Linked DNA regions of Arabidopsis thaliana. The protein of the gene in region 3 interacts with the protein of the main gene of each other region in a pairwise test. Each region holds a gene or a part of one and is shown on either strand. Other genes may lie near its edges. The genes, in order: CRF11, CUC2, MYB112 and WRKY38.

Region 1 (6,524 bases), on a different chromosome or scaffold from region 3:
TTTATTTATTTCCACTATCAATTTAAAATGACACGTAAATTTGTAATGATTTTTCGAATAATGTAAGCACTAATTGATATTGGTGTTTTAACTTTTAACAAAAGAAAACAAAGATCTACATATGGGCCTAAAGTAAAAGCCTTTTAGTTAAGTACATTATAATTGGGCTTTATATCTTAACAACGTCGAATCAATTGTAGGGCCGACGTGGGCGGCTAAGCTGTTTCCAACTTTCCAACTTCCGACCAGCTCCACTTGTGTCTTTCGCTCTCTCTACACTTATGTTTTTTTTTTTTCAACTCTCTGTTTTGTCTGACGTGTCCACTTACTAATAATTTTTGAAAAAACTTTCCACATATAAAAATTGCTTGATGGTCGTCGTCGATGGCTGCATTATTTATGAATGTATTAGTCCACATGGTGAAATGTCTACATTTTAAACACCACGTGACACTGATAATCCGACACTTGTATGTGTGAAATCAATGTAATGATCCCTTACTCTTTCTTTTTTGTTTTTCTTTCAATAGAACAAAAATATTGCGAATTTATCTAATAATGTTTCTGTAATACTAAAATTATTTTAAAAGTTTTTATTTAATATATTGTTAATTTGTCTAAATTTTGTCACGACCGTTTTTCTTCATGAATAGTCTTTGACGTAGTTGAACATCCATTTTGTATACACTGTTATAAATTTGCACACATTTTGTGTTTCAACAATTTTTAAAAAGTATATATGTAGTGTACAACTTTACTTTATTATTGCTTTACTTTTTTTTTGTCTATTGTCGTTGAAAAATGACATCAAATGAATCTGTTGCCTTCCTTACGTAGGAAACGTTTTGTTGAAATAGTAATAATTAGTAAGGGTCATTGTATATTGGTGGAGAAAATGTTTTTCTTACTTCTGTAATTGCATCGTCTTTTCTTCACGTAGGGTAGGCAATCACATGCATTCAGGCGTGCGTTCACTGTTTTCTTTTTTCTTCTAGCTTTTTGTTTTCCTACTATATTGTTGCAGAAAAATGTTTAGTTTAAACTAAATTAATTATCCAACTCTTTAAAGTGGCAATCTTGTAAATAAAAAGGGGAGTAGGTCTGGACCAATGTGGCAATGCGAGCGATATGTTAAAAAAGCTGTGGAATAAACAAAATTTTGGAAATTAGGAGTTCCTTTCGTTTTATGGAATTGAAAGAAAATGACACTTTCAATATTTTTTTGGTATTTCTTTAGTAAAAAATGTTTTAAATTTTTAATCGATCGAATCGTAATGAACCTTACAAAAAAATCATAAAATTTGAAGTTGATATATAAATTTTAATCTAGAGATGTTAACTTTTTGGATTAATCTGGAAGCGACCTGTTTTAAGTTGTTTCAAAACTATTAGGACCGAAACCAAATAGAATCGAGCAAAAAATGTTAGAAATTTTTATTTTATTTTGTGTTCTTTAGGTTAACCAAATGTTCGTTCATGGTGTAAGATATCAAATAATGGATGAGCTTAACCTCTAAAATACAAGTTTAAATTGATCGGTTCAAATCGGACCGAACTTAAATGATTTTGCAAGTTATTAGAGTGATCATGATCATGTTATGTTACGGAATATTACAGAGTAACTTAACTTAAGCACTGACTTAGTTGACCCAAAAAGAGACCATTGACTTCATGAAATGCTTGAGTGTGGAAAAAATAAAACAGAGTTATTCAAAAACGTTTTGAGTTGTGAATTATTCTCATTAACATTGTATTTATTTGGTGCACAAAAAAAAAAAAAAAAAAAATTGTATTTATTTATACCCACTAAAGATGGGAAGAAGACTTGTAAATTATGATGAAAAGTCCCTCGGTTGGTAGCAACTAGCAAATGTGGGGATGGAACAATCCTCCACGTTCGAAATTGTTCTTCTTTAGCACAATCAAGATACTGCAAAGTAAACTACCTCTAATGTAATTAATTAACCTCACAAATTGTTATGTTAATTAATGGTATTGAATTATACTCGTCGATCTTTTGTAAGATATTTTTGTTGAATGCCGAAAAAATTATCAGAATCTATAATTGATGTTTTTGTTTAAGAGTCAATTTGGGAGAATGAGTTAAATTACTATAGAATACAAGTATACATCACATCAAATAATATGAATAATTCACTAAACAATGAAGGAGTAGTTACTAGTCACTCTCTTTTATTTATTTTTAATTAAAAAACGAATATATATGTTATTGTAGTTTAATACTATTAATAAAATAAAATTCTATTACTTCACTTAGCTAAAAGACCCACAGTGCAGTAACAGTGAGAAGTAAATTTCATGAATAATGTATTACAATACAATAATAACTTGTTCGATACAAAGTATTATTCCTTTCACAAACTAAATTTATTTACCATATATCCATAATATAATTCCAAAAATAGTATGTTTTATTACCATATTGTAAAAGGGAAAAATGTCATTTAAATCATCACTTTACCATTTTCGTTGGTTTAAAACATAAACTCTCGATTTGGTGATTTAAATCCTCAATTTTATGTTGACGTTTAATTTAATCACGAATTCTCGTTAACTAAGCCAATTAAGACACATCGTTAAAAAATTTTCTAATTAAAATTTTTGAGTTTTTCTCTATTTTTCTTCAGAATCTCTTATCTTCTTTGGAATTTCTCTTCTTATTCGAATTCAAAGTAATCTTTCATCTTTAGGTCGATTGACGATACCGGGAAAAAAAATTGTGTCTCAATTGGCTTAGTCAACGAGAATTTGTAATTAAATTGAAAATCAACATCAAATTAAGAATTTAATTCACAAGATCCAAAATTCATACTTTAAACCAACGAAAATGATAAAGTGATAATTTAAAAAACATTTTCCTTATCCCTATTGTAAAACTATTTTCACCAATCTTAACCGAAAAAATGAAATAAAACTGTCCAAAAAAAAAAAACCAAATGCTAATAAAAAACGAATTTAATTTCCCATCTTCGTTTTTTTTCTTTCTTTTAATGCTTTAATAAATTTTTATTGAGATCTGTGTTTGAACAATCGTTTCTTAAAAGATTTTTAACATCTTTTTAAATTCCTCGGTCTCTTAAATTTACCAGTTACATAACTTTCTTTTATTTTTCCGACATAAATTAAAAGTTTTGTCTTTGGTAATAGAGAGGCAGAAAAATCTTGGCCATAGATTTGTCATCTGTTTTCGATTCGTTTTGATTCTTTACTTTATCTTCTTCTTCTTCTTCTTCTTCCTCTTTTTGAATCTTTTATCTTCTCACTTTTCTTTTTCACTTTTGGGAAGCTCGAAGAGCTGAGAGGAGTGTGAGAGAGAAAAGGATCTTTGAAGTCGCCGGAATAATTTGTTTAACCGGAGCTCTGTCTTTGACTCTACGCTTCTCTCTCTTCTTCTTCCTTCTTCGTCTTCTTAATCGCTTTCTGCTCTGTTTTTCTCGTTCATCAAGCTACATCTACTAGCTCTCTCAGTGATTGATTTCTCACAGTTTCATCGATTTCCATGCGTTTAAGACCTAAAAGGTAACTGGGTTTGCTAAAGTTTGTTACTTTGAATGGTTTTTATAGTTTCTCTGTTCGAATCTGAAGTGGGTTGTTGTGTTTTTGCTGGTTATTGAAACAGGACTTGTTCTGGGGTAAAGGACTTTTCTTGTTCTTGAGAGAGTTCATTTTGAGGCTTTTCTGGGAATTTTGAGAGGTTTTTTAGGGTTTAAGGGGGTTTGGTTTTGAATTTCGCACACCAAGTGTTCGATAAAATGGCTGAACGAAAGAAACGCTCTTCTATTCAAACCAATAAACCCAACAAAAAACCCATGAAGAAGAAACCTTTTCAGCTAAATCACCTCCCAGGTTTATCTGAAGATTTGAAGACTATGAGAAAACTCCGTTTCGTTGTGAATGATCCTTACGCTACTGACTACTCATCAAGCGAAGAAGAAGAAAGGAGTCAGAGAAGGAAACGTTATGTCTGTGAGATCGATCTTCCTTTCGCTCAAGCTGCTACTCAAGCAGAATCTGAAAGCTCATATTGTCAGGAGAGTAACAATAATGGTGTAAGCAAGACTAAAATCTCAGCTTGTAGCAAAAAGGTTTTACGCAGCAAAGCATCTCCGGTCGTTGGACGTTCTTCTACTACTGTCTCGAAGCCTGTTGGTGTTAGGCAGAGGAAATGGGGTAAATGGGCTGCTGAGATTAGACATCCAATCACCAAAGTAAGAACTTGGTTGGGTACTTACGAGACGCTTGAACAAGCAGCTGATGCTTATGCTACCAAGAAGCTTGAGTTTGATGCTCTGGCTGCAGCCACTTCTGCTGCTTCCTCTGTTTTGTCAAATGAGTCTGGTTCTATGATCTCAGCCTCAGGGTCAAGCATTGATCTTGACAAGAAGCTAGTTGATTCGACTCTTGATCAACAAGCTGGTGAATCGAAGAAAGCGAGTTTTGATTTCGACTTTGCAGATCTACAGATTCCTGAAATGGGTTGCTTCATTGATGACTCATTCATCCCAAATGCTTGTGAGCTTGATTTTCTCTTAACAGAAGAGAACAACAACCAAATGTTGGATGATTACTGTGGCATAGATGATCTGGACATCATTGGTCTTGAATGTGACGGTCCAAGCGAACTTCCAGACTATGATTTCTCAGATGTGGAGATCGATCTTGGTCTCATTGGAACCACCATTGACAAGTATGCTTTCGTTGATCATATCGCAACAACTACTCCCACTCCTCTTAATATCGCGTGCCCATAAGTTTTGCAGCTAGGTGTTATTATTAGCTATAGGAGCAACGTAAAAAGCTCGTTGTTACTCGGTTTTGTCTTAAGTTATTAAAGTATAGCAGAGGCAGTTAATCTCAAGGGAAGCAAAAACCCTAAAGATAGAAGCAGATGCAGTTTTGTGTGTTGGTGTTACTAAAGAAAGTTTTGTTGACATAATGGTTTTGATGTTGTGGAGAAGATAGAGAGGTGTGATCGAAATTGTAAATCTCAGGTGGTTTTTTTTGAAGGCAATTGTTTCTCATTTAGGGTTTTTTTCTATATGAGGATTGTCTTTGAAAAGCCTTTAGATGTTTTCTAATTCGTAAGCTCTCTCAATCTTTGTAAGTTTTGCCTGTTGAGTTATTGATACATATGTGAGACCTACTTTATTTGTTTTGTGCTACATACATTGTTGATGGTTTCGTCCTCTGCTCTTGTTAAGTCATTGTTACCAATGTTTGATTGCTGTTTCTTTCGGGTTGATTCAGTCAGACATGAAGATAACTAGATAAACCGTTTGTTCTCTGCAATCACTACCTATAGAGTTAGGGTTTAGGCTTATCCTCTTTTTGCATTATATCAGTAAAGTTTTCTTTAAAAGTTATGTGAACAAAAACACATAATGCAAGATAGAGAGGTTAATGGGTTTGGTTGATGATAACAGTAGGACAAATTATCACCGCTCTAATTGCGTTGGTTCTTAAACCATTTCTTTTATAATATTTAATATTTGATCTAATTTTCTTAAAGCAACCTTTGCGTATATTACAAGTCTTGCCAAAATTTTCAACTAGTTCCATCTTTGATATAAAGAGTATATAGTGGTGTGTTCTTTTGTGTCAAGCCATCTCTCAACTTCAGACTGTAGCTGCTTTTGGATTTTATTAGTTTCGTTTTAGTGAACAGAATTATGGATATACATTGAATTGAACGTGCATATTCATTTTGTTTTTGTTTTTTCAACAAATTAAAATGAATTCTAAGATGTTTTTGTTTTTTTGTTAATTGAATTCTTAAGATGTTGACAGAAAATAAATTGAAGTCTTAAGAATAATTGATTTGAGATTTTAAGACTTGTACTTTTCTTTGGAGATTGGAGATTTGACATGCTCGAAGTCGATGTATACAATTTGGTTTTTTATCAAGTGTCATTCTCATTCGATGGAGCTTTTTTTTTATCAAAAACGTGGAAATTAGTGATTTCTAATGATCTGAAATAAAAATTGGGTTTACTTCCATGGTTTTTTTTTGGACAAAGGGGTTTACTTACGATCAAGCAATCAATTACATAGTTATTCTGGATTAGTCATTTGGTAATATTTAGCATCTTATGAAGAATCTTAAACACGTCCATTATACAACTAAATATGTTGCACCATTTGATGGAAAAAAAATATGTTGCACCAAAAAAATGATCCAAGATGTTGAAACTTGAAAGAAAAAATCGAATAATAATAACAAATAGGCTTTCTGGCTTTCTATGTTACTGAAAGGCCCAATGCACGTAAACGGAGAGCCCACATTACAAATTAATAATTTTTGTTGGGCTAGTGAGACCATAACGCTATCATACGTTGTAAATCTGTACAGCAAGTTAACAATTACAATAATAATCAGATTTTACACTCTTTTATAGATAAGTCATGGTCAAGACTCAAGAGTCAAGAGTCAAGACCAACAATCAATGGCCTAGCTTGTACAACAAAAGACTTAAGGCTATATAGTTTTAATCAATTAGAGTCAC
Region 2 (6,463 bases), on a different chromosome or scaffold from region 3:
CAGTATACAATTATTTATACATTACAGAAAACAGAGTCCATGTAGCCATATAATGCTATATTAACTGCTCTTCTCCTTACCTACTCTTCGACTGCTTGAGCTTGACCATCGAGATAACAAATAATTTGGTTTTTGTTTTGGGAAAGTCTATCTGAAGTAAGATCCTCTTTCGAACCATAAAAATTACAAATATGTATTATCAAAAAAATGTTGACCACAAAAAGAAATTAAACATAGATTGGGCTATTAGTTTACTCAAGTGAGTAGGTCACAAGGGAATATCTACTGTTTCTTAATACTGTGTTAACCTCCTGCATTTATAATGCTATCATTATTTATTTTATTGGGTTCTCTTACGTCAAATAGTTTATTATTGGCATTTGTTCATTTGCTTTTTGCAGTTATTAAAAAAAGATGATATGCGGTATTACCAAACATTTTAGAAAATAAATAAAAGTTTTGTAATAAATGATTGATAAAACAACAACGAATTTTATGGTAGGACATATGTTTTTCTGTAGAGAAAAACAAATCCATTTTGGTGTTCGAAAGCAGCCATAAATTTCAGATCAATAGAAAAATATAAACAATTTGGAAAAGAAATTGAAAAATAAAATAAAGAGGATGATATGTATATAGAATATCAAACACTCTACTATTGTGTTAATTAATCAAAAGGGGATAAATGTGGTATTTAAAGTGTCAAAAATATAGCATAAATGGAATGAAGGTGATAGAAAGTAGGGAGTGTGCATTTTAACCTTGAAAAAGTACGGATATTAGATATTTAAAGTCATAAGAATATTTTTCTCGTTATGAAAAAAATGCTAAGCAAACAAACAAATTAACCGTGAAAAATATATGTTTAAATTAAGATAAAGTAAAGCAAATTTCTAAAATTTGGCAAGGTCAATATCAACATTGTAATCTGTTTGGCCATTGTTTTCAGTTTAAGACAATTAACACTTTGGCACACTAGAATGTATTCAAAACTTCATAAATTCAAGTAATTACAATTATATAATGTTATTGCTTCGGTTCATAGCTTGGTGATAATCTTTTACTTCAACTATCTGTAATTAAGACAGGAAAGGATCTTATTAATTAGATTTAGTTACTGTCATATGCAGATATGTCTAAAAAGACGTATAGATAGACCTACAATTTCTAGATAGTAATAAATACTACTATTAAACAGTAGTAGCAGGTGTAATAGTCTTAGCATGTCTCTGATAATGATTTTTAATGTATAATTATTACTTTGCATACTTTATAACATCTTCTTTTTTTTAACTAATAGTTACACACATGATAAGTCCGTAGATATGAATACTCGAAGGGGAGAGTTATTTTGATTTAAGTTTATACAATTTTTTCATACGGTTAAAATAGTCAATAAGTCTGTAGTTAATTTATTAGTAGAAATTGATCAACTCACTATCTTTTTAGTTTGATCTTAAGGTCTTTACATTTTTGGGTGTGTCTTTTATTCTTTAGTTTATTCTTTAGTACATTTTTGGGTGGGAAATTTTAAAAAACAAGTCATGTCAAATAGGGCTAAAATTGAAGTTCCACTAAAATAAATAATTTGTATGAGATAATAATCAAAATATTGGAAGTAACAGAAATAAATTAACAATTGTGAAATTTACGTTTAGTCATGTCATTTTGGTGGACCTGTAACAATCAACATAATTGATAATTAGTTATTTGATGAGCCATAATTAATTTATATAAAAAAGGAGAAAAAACAGACTTGAGATAGTAATTAAGAAAACTACAAAACCAGGCAGCATAAATATCTTCTCTGATTTGCAACCTGTAACTTCTTGATTAAATTATTTTTCAATCTTACATCATAAATCTCGTTGCTTGAAAATAATGAAATTTAATTTTCTTTTGCTGAGTCTTACAAATGAATATGAAGCAATGAAAAGTAACTAAAAATCCATCACAGGAGTAAAAAATTGGAAAATGGAAAAGATGAAACAAAAACGAAAAGAAAATCAAGGAAAAAAAAAAGAGAGGTGAAAGGTGTAGAAGGTGGTGGCGTGTAGTAACGAAGTCTCTGTCAAAGTTTTTGATAAATTAATCATGTACTGTGCTGACACTCCAAGATTTGAAACAGCCTTATCGATATAATATCCATTTTTCTATTAAAAATAAAAATTGAAACTCTTCACTTTCCAAATAACTAGTGTATATGTCTAATAATGTATCCCTCACTATACTACTATTGTTTCGATTAGTCATTGTACGTATAATAAATTATTATGTATCCCAATTTCCAAACACAATAATAAAAAGAAATTTCAAGTTCGTAGATAAAAAAAAAGATACAATCTGAATCCTCTCTTTTATTTTCATCACTGACAGAGAATACCACTGCACTTTTTCTCATGCACGCACGCATACTCAGATAGAAACAAGAGCCCATTCCTCGTTTCTTTAATAATTTAATTCAAAGAAATACGGACACTTCATGATTAATTTTAATTTTGTAATTTTAAAACAATCTCGAGTTATGTAAAAAATATATCGATAAACTCAAAAATGTGATGTAATAATCTGCTTTGGCTTTGCTCTCTTTACTACAAGACAAGGCAGAGAAAACCACAGATTCCTATGAAAGAGTAGACGTACCTGTCTTTTTATTATTACTAAATTTATAATTATCTTCTCTACGACTTTCTGGTTTTTAATCTTTTAATAATTATTTTACTTTCACTACCCCAAAAAAAAAGCTTCCCTCTATTTCGCCGTTTTAGATTTACCAAATCCCAATGTATAAAAAAAATAAACTAATAAAACCAAAAAATAATATCCATCCACATTATTACCACGCCCCTTACTCAAGAACCATCCATTATATTAACCTATTTATCTTCTTCTTCAAAACATTTGAGTCTCCTTAGGGTTTTTTCTCTCTCAAACAAAAGCTTTAGATCTTTCTTCTTAATGGACATTCCGTATTACCACTACGACCATGGCGGAGACAGCCAATATCTTCCACCGGGTTTCAGGTTTCATCCCACGGACGAAGAGCTCATCACTCATTACCTTCTCCGCAAAGTCCTCGACGGTTGCTTCTCAAGCCGTGCCATCGCAGAAGTTGATCTCAACAAGTGTGAGCCTTGGCAACTTCCCGGTAAGAAAATACAAAACTAACTTACTTGTAGTTCTTTTGTAATTAAGGTTTCTGAAATCTTTACTCTCAATGTTACTTAGGGAGAGCTAAGATGGGAGAGAAAGAATGGTACTTCTTTAGCCTCCGTGACCGGAAGTATCCGACGGGACTGAGAACTAACAGAGCAACTGAGGCTGGTTACTGGAAAGCTACCGGAAAAGACAGAGAGATCTTTAGTTCAAAGACTTGTGCACTTGTTGGGATGAAGAAGACTCTTGTCTTTTACAAAGGAAGAGCTCCGAAAGGAGAGAAGAGTAATTGGGTTATGCATGAATATCGTCTTGAAGGCAAATTCTCTTACCATTTCATCTCAAGAAGCTCCAAGGTACTTCGATTTAACCTTTCATTAGTTATTTTGTTGATAAAGTAAAGCCTTAATTTTCTTTGATTAATAAATTTACAATCTATTATTTGGAAAAAAAATTCGAGAGTGTGACATAGTCGGTGACGTTGATTTTTTTCTCTTTTGCTTTATTGCATTTAATTTTGATGGCTGAAAAGGCATGGTTCTTTACTGTGGTTATCTGAGAGCATTATGGAACATGAAATAGAAAAGATCTGCTGTTTTTATGTATTGGGATTTCAATCATAATGGTGTTTTCCTAAAGTAAGAAAACATTCAATAGCTCTGATAAAATAAAATATTAATACATCCTACTTTTGGAAAGCTTAATGCAAAAAACCAGAACCAATGCAAATCTTCAGGATTTTTTTCTGACCTAGATATATTAAAAAGAAATTTAATTAAATTAATTTTACTTAATTAGTGTTCCATATCCATTGTAGACTTGTAGTGTCCAATGTACATTCCCTCTGTGCACGCTTTTACTCTATGGTTTTTCTTAATCTTCACTCTCTTTTATTTCCAAGATCTAACATTGACTTTCTCATCAAACATATATTATATAAAATATTTGACTTTTCAAAACTCTAATTTATTCCTTCAGGATGAATGGGTGATCTCTAGGGTTTTCCAGAAAACCACTTTAGCTAGCACCGGAGCCGTCTCCGAAGGAGGAGGAGGAGGAGGAGCAACTGTGAGCGTAAGCAGCGGTACTGGTCCATCTAAAAAGACGAAAGTACCCTCAACAATCTCAAGAAACTATCAAGAACAACCAAGCTCTCCTTCCTCCGTCTCACTCCCACCTCTCCTGGATCCGACCACTACCCTCGGCTACACCGACAGCAGTTGCTCCTACGACAGCCGTAGCACCAACACAACCGTCACAGCCAGCGCAATAACCGAGCACGTGTCCTGTTTCTCCACTGTCCCTACTACTACTACGGCCTTGGGCTTAGACGTTAACTCATTCAGCCGTCTTCCACCGCCGCTAGGGTTTGACTTTGACCCTTTTCCTCGTTTCGTTTCTAGAAACGTCTCGACTCAATCTAACTTCAGATCGTTCCAAGAAAACTTCAATCAATTTCCTTACTTTGGATCGTCTTCTGCATCGACTATGACCTCCGCCGTTAATCTGCCTTCTTTCCAAGGCGGCGGAGGCGTCTCCGGGATGAATTACTGGCTACCGGCGACTGCCGAAGAGAATGAGTCAAAGGTCGGTGTGCTTCATGCTGGACTTGACTGTATTTGGAACTACTGATCACAAAAGAGGTGACTTATAATTGTTCCCGTTAGGGTTTTATTTATGTATTTCTAGGATGATTATGGTATTATGAAATGTGTGTACCGAGGAGCTTAATATTGCACTTAGCTTGATGTTCCGCTTAATTCTCTAGTTTTAAGTTTATCCGGTTGTGTTAATTAGGAGGTAATATGCAAGGAAAATGTTTTCTAGACTATGAACGTGCATATGTATAAGCTATGCTCGTTTTTGTAATGTTTGACATTATGTTAATTTCATGGCTTTTTCATGTTTTATATTTCTCATGATATTTGACATGTGTCCTTGGTTATCAATACAATCATACAGTATATTACCGACAAAATGAATTTCTTCGGTCGCTTCTAGATACCTTAGTTTTCTTCTTGTTAATACAATTTGATATGGCGGTTATATATATGTTTCCGGAATTCAACCGTTCCGAATCTTCGGTTAGATGATTTCCGTAATTACATAACATGGCTAATTATTTAATTTCTTCATCAATTGAAGATGCTCAAATGTAAAACATGCATGTAGTTTTTGTTTATTAATTCTAGCTAATTAAGGTTGACATGTGTAACTGCCAAAATATTTCAAGAAAGTTTCATGCTTTTAAAGTAAGTACTCATAATTCAGTGGATTAATCAGTCTATGAACACCATTTTCAGTTAGGTGTATCTTCTTGCTACAATCGTACACATATGAGACTAAACACAACAATTTGCGTTTGGCTTAATTGATTAAGATAACATGCATGTACATGGTAGTTACTGAAAATAATTTACATACTAATTTTGATTAACTTAATGCATTGTAAACCCACCAAAGAAAAGAAGTAGTTTTGAAATTAAGGATTTTGAAACGGGGATGATGAATATGATGCGCATGCTGACGAACGGACCACTCCCAAATTCAGATCTTGTACAACAGTCCACCTCACTTTCAGAAGGATGGCTTTCACATTTCTATTTTTAGAAAGAGACATAATTAATAATACCTCTGTTTATTACCATTATATATGTGTTTTCATTTCACGTGTGTATACTAGTAGGAGTATGATATATGTATGTGTGTAACACAACCATCATCATCATCATCATCATTACCATCATCAATTATTGCTCTTGTTGCATCACCAACCTATACTACCTAGTCATAAGACAAATTCACAGACTCACATATACGTCTTGCTAAATGGCAAAATTTCATGATGTTTTAGCTAAAGGAATATATGTACACATTTGTATGCTTATTATTTTGGGTTTCATTGGTTACATTTGCAATCACAAAACAAACTAAGGCAAATGGTATTGGTTCAAAAAACATTGACCAACATATATATATATATATATATAAGAAAAAACCCAGCTATTTACACAAAAGAACAGCTAAGTGATGATAAGAACTGACTAATTTTATCACACTATGTATATATAAAAAAGCAGAAAATTCAGCTGGCCTGACTTAAAAAATAAAAATCTTAAACCAAAAGTTACTATATTTTATTATTATTATCAGCTTCAATAACTACAACATTTAAATTTTACTTGCTTTTCTAAAAGATGTCTGATTTTTTGCCCCAAAAACAAATGTCTGATTTTGTACGTCATTACGCCCACACCGATTACGCCCAACAATTATCATGTGATTAAAACAGCTGGAAAGTTTGTGA
Region 3 (6,748 bases):
GCAACAAAGGACAATGTCACCTTAAATGTTAAGAGTCTCAGCAGCGATAACCGATGAAGACACATGTAAAGACGATTTGTCAAGTGTTATATCTAGTCCACAATTTTAAAAGAAGATTTCTAATATGAAAATCTGTCGGCCATAGTTTTGGTTATTTCTAAAATATTACCTAAACATAATAAAATATTATAAATCGATATATTGTTTTATGGATTAAAGAAAAAAAAAACAAATTTCCTTTTCATTATTTTGTCAAAACTGTATAACATGGCAAAAGGTATGGCAAAGAAAACTATCAAAAACGATAAAACCATGGCAAATACTCCACTAATAACATATCAATCATAGGTAATGCAATTTTGTTTTCTCTTTTTTTTTTAACTACGTATAATGGTGTTAAAACTTTTTTTGTTTTTTTTTTTTGGAAAACTTTTGACCTAGTGTAAAGTTTGGCAAAAATGGTTTGATCTAAAACTAGTTTCATCGAGATTTTACATTTTGTAGAACTCTGATTCGGCTTTAATGAGTTTATGGTTAGAGACATGGGTTAGGTTAAGCTTTACTCGATTTAGAGTTTTGAGGTTCGCTGCATCTTGCTTTCATGCTATCAAAGCATTTTTATATTGTTACATTCTCTTGAGTCTTTTTTTTGTTTTGTAATCCTTTTCTATTTCTAATTAAAAAAACTAAAATTTATAGCTAAAACCATTAAAAAAAAGTAACCAAGAGTTCCGAAACTAAAGAAAACCCAAAAAAGTTAGTAACTTCAAAAAATTTAACTAGTTTCTTTCATCAATCTGTATTTATATATGTTCTAACTTTTTTTATCAAAACCAAACCGAATCTAAACCGTAAGTCAAAATAAATTAAACCAAAATTGCATCAAATTGAAATCATGACTAAAAATTACTCCTTTTGTCCCTTTTTATTGATTTTCTAGAAACAATCACAGATTAAGTAAACATATTGATTTAATTTTTGTGATTTAATTTTTTAATAATTCTAAACTAATGATATTCAATTATTTGTCTTGAAGTTTAAAATTCATCAATAATAACTAATAAATAGTGCATAGAAACCTAAAAAATCAATCTTTTTGAAACAATTTTGTTTCTCTAAAAATCAATTAATAAAGAATAGGGGGAGTATTATTTTTGAAGTATACTTTAAAAAACACCTTTATTTTGATAAATATTAACAGAGAATGTCATTACTTATATTCATGTATTCAAATAACTTTACTATTAATTTTTATTATCCGTATAACCAAATCAATTGATTGTTTTTAACATTAACTATAAAATTTGAAATATACATATAATGTTCCAAAATTAGTAATACATATTAAAAGATTGTGTTAAGAATTAAAATAATGATTCGCAATCATCTTTGTTTGATTTTGTTTTCTATTTGTTTTGAATCATCATATAAAGTTAATAATAAACTATTTTCTACCTATATTCTGATTCAAAATTTTAGAATTAGACATATATATTACTTAAATAATAAAAAAGTGTGTTCAACGTCTCAATTTCACATGGGCTAAAATGTTTAGAAAATGATTAAGAGTCATGTTATAAATAAATCTAAATCTAAATAAACAAGAAGTTTAACTTAACAAGTATCTAAATTTAAAAGTTTGTATATGGTTTAATTCTGTTTTTAATTGAACTGTTTAATTTTACTGGATATAGTAAATTTTAAGCTTTGAAAGTTTTGAAATATTATAATTGATATATTTAAACTCAGTATAAAGTTTAAAATAAAATGAATATATATAAAAGTCTAAAATAACGCAGTACATGTTATATTTTGAGACTGGGTATATGAAAAATGAGTTTAAATCGACATTAAAAAAATTAAAAGTATCATTAACCGACATTATAATACGGTGAAATTCTCATTTTATTATTTGATTAACATCACTAATATTAAATATGTAGAATTACACTAATTTAGTTAAGATTATGTGAAAACAAAATTGTCCCGTGTTATATTGAGGGTTAAATTCTAGTTTGGTTTAATAAAAGGAAACCTGAATCAAAACTAAACAAAATTATATACTACAGAAAAAAGGGTTTGTTGCATCAACTAAATTATATCGATAAATAAATGATGTTAATTTAAATTACTTCTTCGGTTACTTTTACTTACTTGATAGCTTATCCAACTCTTAACTATAGCATGTGCTTAAGGAGAAACTAAGAACTCTTATACTATTACTTAGAAATTATTATTTTGCGAAAATTCCACTAATATCTTCGGGTAATAATTTATCTATTAACATGCCGATTTCAAATGCTTGGTATTTATTTATAATATATACAAAACAAAACAAAAAAAAATCTATAAAACCCACCCTGAAAACTCGATCACTTTATGTCCATTCCGAGAACTCTCTCCCTCATTAATTAAAATCTTTCTCAGAGCAATCTTCTCACAAGTTTCTAAGAATCTCAAAGCATGAATATAAGTAGAACAGAATTCGCAAACTGTAAAACCCTTATAAATCATAAAGAAGAAGTCGAAGAAGTCGAGAAAAAGATGGAAATAGAAATAAGGAGAGGTCCATGGACTGTGGAAGAAGACATGAAGCTCGTCAGTTACATTTCTCTTCACGGTGAAGGAAGATGGAACTCCCTCTCTCGTTCTGCTGGTAACTTCTTAAGCCTTTTGCATATATATATACAGAATATGTGATCATGCATGATATATAATATGTAATGCGTAAATCGATCGATTCAGATCAATTGAAGTCATCATAACAAATCCTTATATGCCCATATCATATCTCTAGAGTGATTGTTAAACTATCATTGATTTGAATGGTTAAAGTTTGGTATTGAAGGATTCTTTATATGTCAAACAAGTAGTCCGTTTTTGTTTTTTAAACATTTAGACTGAAACTTTTTTTTTTCTTATTAGAAATTCGTTTTGGATTTTGTGGATTTTAATATGATCATGTGAAGTTTAGTTTAGAGTTTATTTATAACTAACTGAAATTAAATGGAGTAGATATAAAAACTCGTCCACATCTTATCAATATGTTATTCAATTTCTATCACATCATATGTGAGTGATATACATATATGAATGTGATTTTTCGTAACTATGAGAATACTTTTCTTATGGCTGTGACTTCTCCATGTCGGCATAATTTAAATTCCTCTGTAGAATTGGTAAAGTAAGAAAGAACAAGTTGACATATTCATAGTTCATTATTATCATTAAAAGTGTACTTTCGTATGAAACAGTTTGGTCGGTCCAAATTTATTTATTTTTTCCTTTGGAGTTCTTTTCATATTAGCCTTTTGAGTGTGGAACTCAAACACCTTTCCCAACCATCCAATTCCATACAGCCTCATGGAATTGTTATCTTTATTGATTTGGGAAATTGTACTAGTGTCCATATACTATTGACTAGTGTACATTCCAGTTAATTCATGTTTTTATACTAATTGTATTTATATTGAAATCATTTACTATTGAGACAGGACTGAATAGAACGGGGAAAAGTTGCAGATTGCGGTGGCTAAATTATCTCCGGCCGGATATCCGCCGTGGAGACATATCCCTTCAAGAACAATTTATCATCCTTGAACTCCATTCTCGTTGGGGAAATCGGTATGAAACCTTTATTTATATCGACATAGACATAGTCATATTGTCGATACATTACTTAAAATAGAAAAAGGGACACATATCGTTGAAGAGAGCAAATTTGGAACGTCTCTATGAAATAAATAACTCGTTATTCAATATTGTATTAGTAGATAATTGACAAAATCAATTTGATGCGTATTTGAAATTTCTTGGTTGAATTGTGGTTACTATATGAAACTTGTATCATAGTTGAAATTAAGGTACACATCAACGTCTTTTTTTATCAGAGTAACACTAAAAAAACTGATTAATCTAGTACTACAATAGAACTTATAAATAATTAAACCCTCCGATTCATTATAAATAATATTTTTAGCAAGAGTCGGTTTTAACAAAAACAATTAATATACGTACAAAAAGTATATTAGAAATTTAATATATTTTTTGTATGTATAAATGATTCTAATAAAAAACGGAATGAGAGTTTAATTACGATGTTCTATAAAATTAATCGTGTTTTTAATAATGGAGTTAGTTTTGATATTTTTTCTATTGTGAAGGTGGTCAAAGATTGCTCAACATTTACCGGGAAGAACAGATAACGAGATAAAGAATTATTGGAGAACACGTGTTCAAAAGCATGCAAAACTTCTAAAATGTGACGTGAACAGCAAGCAATTCAAAGACACCATCAAACATCTCTGGATGCCTCGTCTCATCGAGAGAATCGCCGCCACTCAAAGTGTCCAATTTACCTCTAACCACTACTCGCCTGAGAACTCCAGCGTCGCCACCGCCACGTCATCAACGTCGTCGTCTGAGGCTGTGAGATCGAGTTTCTACGGTGGTGATCAGGTGGAATTTGGAACGTTGGATCATATGACAAATGGTGGTTATTGGTTCAACGGCGGAGATACGTTTGAAACTTTGTGTAGTTTTGACGAGCTCAACAAGTGGCTCATACAGTAGGCATTTCATGGGTTTATTAATGAATGTAATGTATAATAAACATAAACTAATCATTCAAAACAAAATTAAAGGTTTTCCGGGTTTTTTTCCATTTTTTTATTGGTTTAATTTTATTGTGATGTATGATTTTACAAAACAAAAAAAAAACTGCTTAATTAATAATATCAAAAACATATATATTGTTACACAGAAGCATGATTTAGATAAGACTATAAGAGCAAAGAAGAGAAAAACAACAACATGAGTTTAGCAAAAAGTTTATGTGGTTCCTGGTTCATTTAATAACTCCCATACGATCACTTATAATCTACCATATATGATCATCAATTAAGTTTTATAATATCACCGCATTATTAAAAACATTATGAGTATTTGATAACATATCCCAAAGAAATTCATTACATACTTATTTAACTAATGGGTTGAAATAGAGATTGATGCATGATGTGTATATGAAGTGAACATCAAATAATTATTTTACTCTAAATAAATTATTAATTTGGATTTGGCCCTCTCATCTAAACTCAGAGTTGAAGTGTTCATGAAATCTTGCATGCTCGAGACAATGAGACATATTGCTTAGAGCACTTAAAGATGGTATCAACTCTTAAAAATATGCAAGTAAAATTTCGTCGTCTCAAATATCATTTTTTAAAAATAAAAAAAAAACTTTAGTTACATACATGTTGAATTCTCTAAATCGGTTATGTAGTTTGTGGTGCTATTATTGTTTTGGAAATTTCTAGTTTGTAGGGCCTATATTTTCTTGTTTGGCTAACCAATAATATCGTTAGTTTCATTTAAAATCACATATTAATTTAGTTTGTATAATCATTAATAGTTTAACTAAAAGAAAAGGACGTGAATGATGTCTCCAATTCCTAATCATGATTAAGATACTATTAGTTACTCCAACTCATGTAACACTTTATCGAGATTATATACGTCCAGAGGGGACGAACCCAAATAAGTTACTCTAGTTAAACTTTTAAATAAATTATTTCTCAGTGTTTTTTTCCACTACGTCGAGTAAGGAGGATCACAGATTCACCCGAACCCTATTTTATAATCAAAGTATTAATTGTTTTATTTGTTAGAATATATTAAATTAATCATCGAACACGTCTATAGACTAAATGGAAACAATCCAAAAATATCAAACAATGCATGGTCGATTTTTATTCTAAACTTATCTTTTCAATATTCTCTTTATAAGAAAAAAGCAGAACAATAGTAATTGAATTGGAGTGAAAAAAGGAATGAATTGGCATTACAATTTTGTAAATGGAATACTGGCCTTTCACACACGAATATCTTTGCTTTGTTGGATTATAGAATCATTGATTTTGGCTTTGATAACTATATTATATATTGACGTTGATTGTTGTATGTTGATTGTTGAGAACAGATTGTTAATTTTAGATAATAATTTAGATATCTACGAGAAAAGATAAGGACACGTGTGAACATTTAACACGTGCGCTTGTTGCTTTTAGAAGGCCGGGAAAGAGAGAAGTGGCAATGGCGGCTGTAATGGGAATCCGAGAGAAGGTGGCGCATGAGAAGCAACCCGAAAGTGGTCCCAGTTCGACACATGTACGCTCCATCTGTCACGTGTCTTTTCTTTTTTATTTCTTTAGCATCCTCTAGAAAATAGGAGTATCTTTTTTTATAGTGGCTCTCGTTTCTTCGATTATTGGTTACTAACATCGATTTATCATTTATCCGGTTTCTGTTTTGGTAATTGACTGAAGTGGTGGACTTTGTCGATCCTCAAACTAAATTCATTTATATCGACTACTAACTAATTTGGTTTGCTACATCTGTTGTATATCTTTTCTGTGTCATTTTTTTAAGTGAAATTTAAGATTTTTACATACAAATTAAGAAAACATATCAATTTTTTGTCTAGTATTTTTCTTTATGTAAAACATAGCTAAGTAAAATAAATTCAACCAATAAAAAAACAGAATGCAAAATATAATGAGTAAAAAAAAATTGCATAGAAATTTATAATTATCACTTAACATGAAACAGAAGGAATCTTAAAACATTGCTTACAATGGTACCAAATGAATAAAAATTTACATCTTCTTCTTTTTTATTGCAAAGATAATCACTTCCTTATGTCATTATTATATGTATCCTCTCTATTTTCTTGTGTGCTTCTAGAGAG
Region 4 (5,898 bases), on a different chromosome or scaffold from region 3:
AGATTTCATTATGTAAGTTTTCATTATAAATGTAATGTTACTAATCATAATCTATATTTCATACATATGCATAGTAAAATAATGGTCTATGATAAGGAATAAGAATCCGACAAACAAGAATTACGACATGCGCTCCATCTCTGAATCAGCTAATCAAAGATTAGATAGAAAGAAAAGCAGTCGTTGACTTTTACTTTCATGTGGCATTATAAAAAACGGATGGTTGTTATTATATACTTTCAACTTGATCTAGCTAGTTGCCTAGTTTGTTCGTCCAGACCACTACTAGTATTTTGTAAATAATACCAATTTTACTTTTCTTATAGTAAGCTGTGAAAGACATGTGGTAATAGAAATTATATAGAGCAAATAATTACGAGTGTATTAACGTAATTTTATATTATAAAATGCTAGTATTATATTAAGGGTGTCTTAAAAATAACAATAAACCCAACAAAAGTGTTTTAAAGAATACATTTTTGACATACTGTCTCACCTTATCCTAGAAAATTACTTTTCAATATTGATATTTCTTTTTAAAAATTATGTTAAGACACTTATAAAAATAATGCAATGGAAATGTTCTTAGGTTACATAAAGAATATTGACGTCATCAATAGGTGGTCTCATGCTCGTAGAATATCATTTGTAAATAATGTCGTTTTATATAATCCAAAAACAGACTTGAAACATAATGTAATTTCAGTTTTGTCATCATTAGCTTAGCTTATTCACCTAAAGAGTTAAACTTATATTGTTTATCAGTAAAAATATCTATAAGCTATAGAGGCTTCAGGCTTGCTTAAACAGTCCTTGTAATTACTTTCATAAATAGAATCTACGTATAAAAATATTATGATTTTATACACGTTTAATGCATGTGTGAAAAGGTTAAAAATATACAAAATAGACTTCCACAAATAGTTCCACTCATCAAAATTAAACATGACCTTCGAGGCAGAACATCACGAGTTGACGTAATGGTGTATGTAATCTATTCATTTATGTAAGATTCTATGTTTTTAAGCAAATCGTTTCTTTTTTGGTATCAAGCAAATCGTTTCATAATTAGCATATAATGTTTTCTAGTTTCTTTATCCTTTCAATGTGTCAAGCTTCATTTTCTATTAATCATTTTGAATAGACCGAACGCAAGAAGATGTGTGTGCTTCGGCCAATAGCAAGAAAAATCAAACCCTTGTAAATATTACATTTTCTCAAACAAATCCGGTTTTACATATTCTACTTCTGCTCCAAATATGAAAAATACTTCGGTTCAAATCCGGTTCACCCTCAGGAATTTAAACTTTGTTATTCACCCTATTTTATTTTGCTAATCATAATATACCACTTAATTAAAAATATTAAATTATAAAAATTAATTTGCCACCAAAAACAGTTATATATTAGTTTGAGTTTATAAGAAAATAGTTAAGATTAAAATTTAATAATTAAACAAGATAAAATATAGGTTTGAGTTTATAAACGAGTTTAGATTTTTTTCAACTAGATGAGGTTAATTGTTGGTATGAGTTTATAAAAAGGTTTACATTTTACATTTTTAAACGAGGTTAAATATATCAATTTGGGTTTAGAAAAAATGGTTAGGATTATAGACGTTAAAACTAAACGAGGTTAAATGTTGGTATGAGTTTGTAAAGGAGAATTATGGTTTAGTTTGTAAATAAACGAGGTCAAATTAAATGTTGGGTTTGGTTTATAAACATATTTAGATTTTACAATTAAACGAGGTTAAATGTGAGTTTGGGATTAGAAAGAATGGTTAGAATTTATATTTTACAATTAAACAAGGTTAAAATGTCGGTTTTGAGCTTTTAAAGATGAATGAGAGTTTAGATTTTATAATTAAACGAGATTATAGATCGATTTAGGTTTACACAAAAAGTGGTTGAAATTTATATTTTATAATCAAATGAATTTTTAATTTATTTATTAGATGATAGAGTTTTATTGGCCGGAAATAAACTCTTAGGGGTGAATATAAATATTGTTCTCGGATTATCTAATCAATAACATAAATACTTAAATAGTCACAATTCTCAAATATATACAATCTCATAAAAAGGAAAACATTATTAAATAGTTTTAGCTGAAAAATCTAGTGCAATCAAAAGTAAAACTGATCATAACGATCCCACGAGTCTGGGTTGTCAAATAACAAATCAGAATTAAAGTCAGCACTTTCACTGCCAGATGACGATGAAGGAGGATAAGAGCCTGATGGTGATGATAGATATTCTTCTATAACATCTTGACAATCTTGGTCATTACTGGTTATCTCACGGTACTGATCTATAGCTTGCTCTTTGATGATATCTTCTTCATGCTTAACCGATAAGGAGAAACCGTTCGAGCGGCTTTCCTTCTCCTGATCCTGATCTTTTCCGAATCGGATCATTTGGGTACTTTTAAAGTCATCTAGGGGATCTTGTCCGGCAATAAAAATGGCATCTAGATTATGTTCGGTTTTGCAAGTGTGGTGGCCAAAGTAAGTGGTTCGGTAAACCGGAGGATTGTCTTTGATCTTTTGTTCATGCTTTCTTGCTTCGCAGTTATGATCTTTGTTGTAAGAACATCTATAGTAACTCCTGTTACCATCATCATACACCAATTAGTATGAGTGATCGGGATAGAAATAATTATGATGAAATATGATTAGCTATACTATTTCTTACCTTTGGTGATTAGATTTTTTTATACTCTTTTGACCATATTTCCTCCAAAGATACCCGTCGTAGTAAATCGGATCCGGTGAATCGTCCCTCCAATTCTCACTTGAATTTGTACTATCAATCTTTCTGCAAACATGAGTATTATCAAAATATTAGCATTAAAATCAACATATACTCCTAAGAAAAAAAATACTTATATTAAGAATTGTGGTTTCATTTGGAAAAACAAAAACAAACTCAAAAAAGAAAACAAACTCATAAGTGTATACCTTTTCTTGGAGGGGCTCCCCTGTGGAGGAGGAGAAGAATCCCTAGAAGATAAATCAGAAAACTGATCATCTTCGGTTTCTGGTTTAGCAGATAAGATTGAAATGGCATTGGAAAAACTTTCAACGATCGATTTAGCAAGATCATAACTTGAAAGCGGTCCACCATCAGCCATTGGATGGTTGAGCCGCCTCTTCAACCGCATGGCGCAGCTATGGCCATAACGGATAGCTTGCACCGCCTTTTCGTGTGGGGAGTTCATTTCCATAGAGTATAGTGAACTTGTGTGTGTGTGTATGTGTTTCTTGTTTGTTTTCTTTTTCTCAAGTCTCTTCTCTGTGCTATAAACTTTTGAACGGATAGGGAGATCAGAATTTATAGGACTAGTCGTACATACACGTTCCCAAATGACTTTGCCAATTTGGGTTTACCAAATATAATTTACATACACTAGGTTATATTTTAAGAAGCCAATGATAAATTATAATTTCGATATAGGACATGTGCTCTGCTAGACTTATATGCGTGAATCTAAATAAAGAGAGACAAAAAGATAGATTAGGTGTTGACATTAGCATATGATCTGTCATGATGTATAGGAAACAGAGTTTATTTTATATACCTTTCCCAGTACGCGGCTCACTTAATTATATACAATCTGTTTTTAATTGTTTCAGAATTTATCTGTTTCTCTTATTACACTAATCTACGCGGTTCGCTTAATAATTAAAGATTAAAAATTAAAAACTACTCCTTTCAGAACACTAAAAGGTTTCAAGATAGGAGGAATCTAATAGAAAACTGTGTTCTACAAAGTCAGATATATTAGAGAGAGATATGAGCTATGATAAACCCCAAATTAGCAATGATTTTAAAATTTTCTTTTGTAATCTTTCCATTTCAATATGTGTCGCAATTTTTTTTATTTTTTTTTTGAAAATATATAGCAGATGAAATTTAAGAATAAATTTGTTTGCTTAATTTTGTTGATTGTATATCGTTAAATATTTTTTATTTAATATTTTGATAGGTGGTTTTAATTATAATTTATACGGTAACTAATAATATAGAGTTTTGAAAATAATATATTTTACGTTCATATGACAAAAAAAAACAAATGTATGTAATAGATTGGATGTTCACAAAAAAAAAAAGTATAACATATTTTACACGTCCATCGCAATGTTTACCTCATCAAAGATGAAACGTGTACAAATAATGTTTTTTTGCTCAATATAATAAGCTTCGAACACATATGATATGATCAATTCATTTTTTTGTAATGAAAATACTCCACTAGTCGTGGATATCTTTAATGGTAAAATTATCTAATTTTTTGGTGAGTTTTGGTTCAGATTTTAAATAAAAATGTAAGTATTTAGACCAGACAAAAGATAATTATTAGGTAATAGAATAACATTAACAAGTAAGATCTAGACAATTTTTCAACGCTTAAAGAGAGAAATAATTGCGATGTAGCTGGCGAGTGGCGACTAATGCACCAATGAAAACGGCATTAGTTTCGTCGGACACTCGACGTCAGCCCCATGACGTAGTTTTTGTTGAAGGGGCTGATTCAGCAGATTGACGTCAGAACGAAGCAGCAATGTTGATTATATTATATACTAACAACAACTAGTCAACTATGCCGTGATGTGAGATTCATTCGTTGGCTACTCGGTCCATATTTTAATTTAATCTAAAATTTTAAGAATTTATAATTAATAAGCTTTGCAAAAGATAACTGGTAATCTTGAATCCTTTTTCTTTAGGTAAACTTGAATCTTATATGAAAGAAAAATTAGTAATTACATTTTAAGCGGATAAAATGATATAATATACGTACAAAAGCTTGTTTTGAATATATAGTATAATCTGAAAGCTAACCAATCCAAGTTATACAATCATATTTTAAAACTAATAGATGGTCAATCCAAAACAATTTATCCTTATCAGATTGTATACATCGATGGTATTTTCAGGCCATGAATTAACACCATTCATGAAACTATACAACAAATTACAAAGTTTGTAAAGAATGTTAAGTTCTATCTACCCATCAATTTAACAACCCTATCTTCTTCTGCGGGTGGTTAATGTAAATTGATAGATATCAACACATAAGAGATATATATATATATATATATATATATATATATATATATAAACTTTCGCACGTGACTTTGATCTGATCTGTGAAACGTTGCCCACATGTATTTTGTTCTTGTTATTAGCAAATTGTTAAATATTGTATAGGTATTAGTACTATATTGAGTAAGGGGTCACATATGTACAAGTCAAGCAAAGCTATGGGTCAAGTCACATTATTTTATGGTGCGAAAGGAAAGTGAATGTGAACATGACTTACATGACAATAATGGTGATACATTTTTTTAATAATTTTATTTATTAGCTAATTAAACCAAGTAGTTGGAACGTAGCTTCCATGTCTTCTTTAATCTGACGACGACTTCAACAAAATTCCCCATTTTCAATAATCCTACAGAACTTTAAAACTTATCTTTATATTAACTTCTTCAGGACTTTTCAATTCAAGATATTTATCTTTGGATTCGTGCTTCCAGCTTTAGTCAAATATATACTTTTGACGTCCTGATTTTTCCAAATAAGGAAAAAAAAGATCCATCGTGCTTGCTCGTGATCTTACATTTTTCCTACTTAACTAATAGATGACCTCCCCAACTTAAATTTCTTAACCACATTTATCTATACAAAAGGACAGGCTACATCCTAGAAAGAAAATAATTAGCAACAACATTGAGACAATATATCGCTTTTTGGTTATATAATTAAGGATTTTATTAGACCAGGATGACAGGAAATTGTTTCGCCCTTTCAATAAGGCCATTTGAAATGCTTGAACTTTGTTATAATCGGAGTCGGTTATTGATAGTCAATTTTTGCAAATGAAGACTCA

Evidence for each region.
Region 1: the proteins of MYB112 (region 3) and CRF11 interact in a two-hybrid assay, tested with the Arabidopsis thaliana proteins (one large-scale study listed by BioGRID).
Region 2: the proteins of MYB112 (region 3) and CUC2 interact in a two-hybrid assay, tested with the Arabidopsis thaliana proteins (one large-scale study listed by BioGRID).
Region 4: the proteins of MYB112 (region 3) and WRKY38 interact in a two-hybrid assay, tested with the Arabidopsis thaliana proteins (one large-scale study listed by BioGRID).

What each region holds. Positions count from the first base shown.
Region 1 is NC_003074.8:9,472,279-9,478,802, forward strand, and holds CRF11 (Integrase-type DNA-binding superfamily protein), read left to right. Parts: upstream 1-3,133; 5' UTR 3,134-3,540; exon of another isoform or gene 3,541-3,640; 5' UTR 3,641-3,773; coding exon 3,774-4,772; 3' UTR 4,773-5,312; downstream 5,313-6,524.
Region 2 is NC_003076.8:21,900,291-21,906,753, reverse strand, and holds CUC2 (NAC (No Apical Meristem) domain transcriptional regulator superfamily protein), read left to right. Parts: upstream 1-2,899; 5' UTR 2,900-2,958; coding exon 2,959-3,148; intron 3,149-3,228; coding exon 3,229-3,512; intron 3,513-4,134; coding exon 4,135-4,788; 3' UTR 4,789-5,050; downstream 5,051-6,463.
Region 3 is NC_003070.9:17,702,093-17,708,840, reverse strand, and holds MYB112 (myb domain protein 112), read left to right. Parts: upstream 1-2,380; 5' UTR 2,381-2,463; coding exon 2,464-2,656; intron 2,657-3,494; coding exon 3,495-3,624; intron 3,625-4,163; coding exon 4,164-4,572; 3' UTR 4,573-4,709; downstream 4,710-6,748.
Region 4 is NC_003076.8:7,493,480-7,499,377, forward strand, and holds WRKY38 (WRKY DNA-binding protein 38), read right to left. Parts: upstream 3,512-5,898; 5' UTR 3,229-3,511; coding exon 2,963-3,228; intron 2,820-2,962; coding exon 2,697-2,819; intron 2,610-2,696; coding exon 2,129-2,609; 3' UTR 1,976-2,128; downstream 1-1,975. UniProt on the Arabidopsis thaliana protein: Transcription factor. Interacts specifically with the W box (5'-(T)TGAC[CT]-3'), a frequently occurring elicitor-responsive cis-acting element.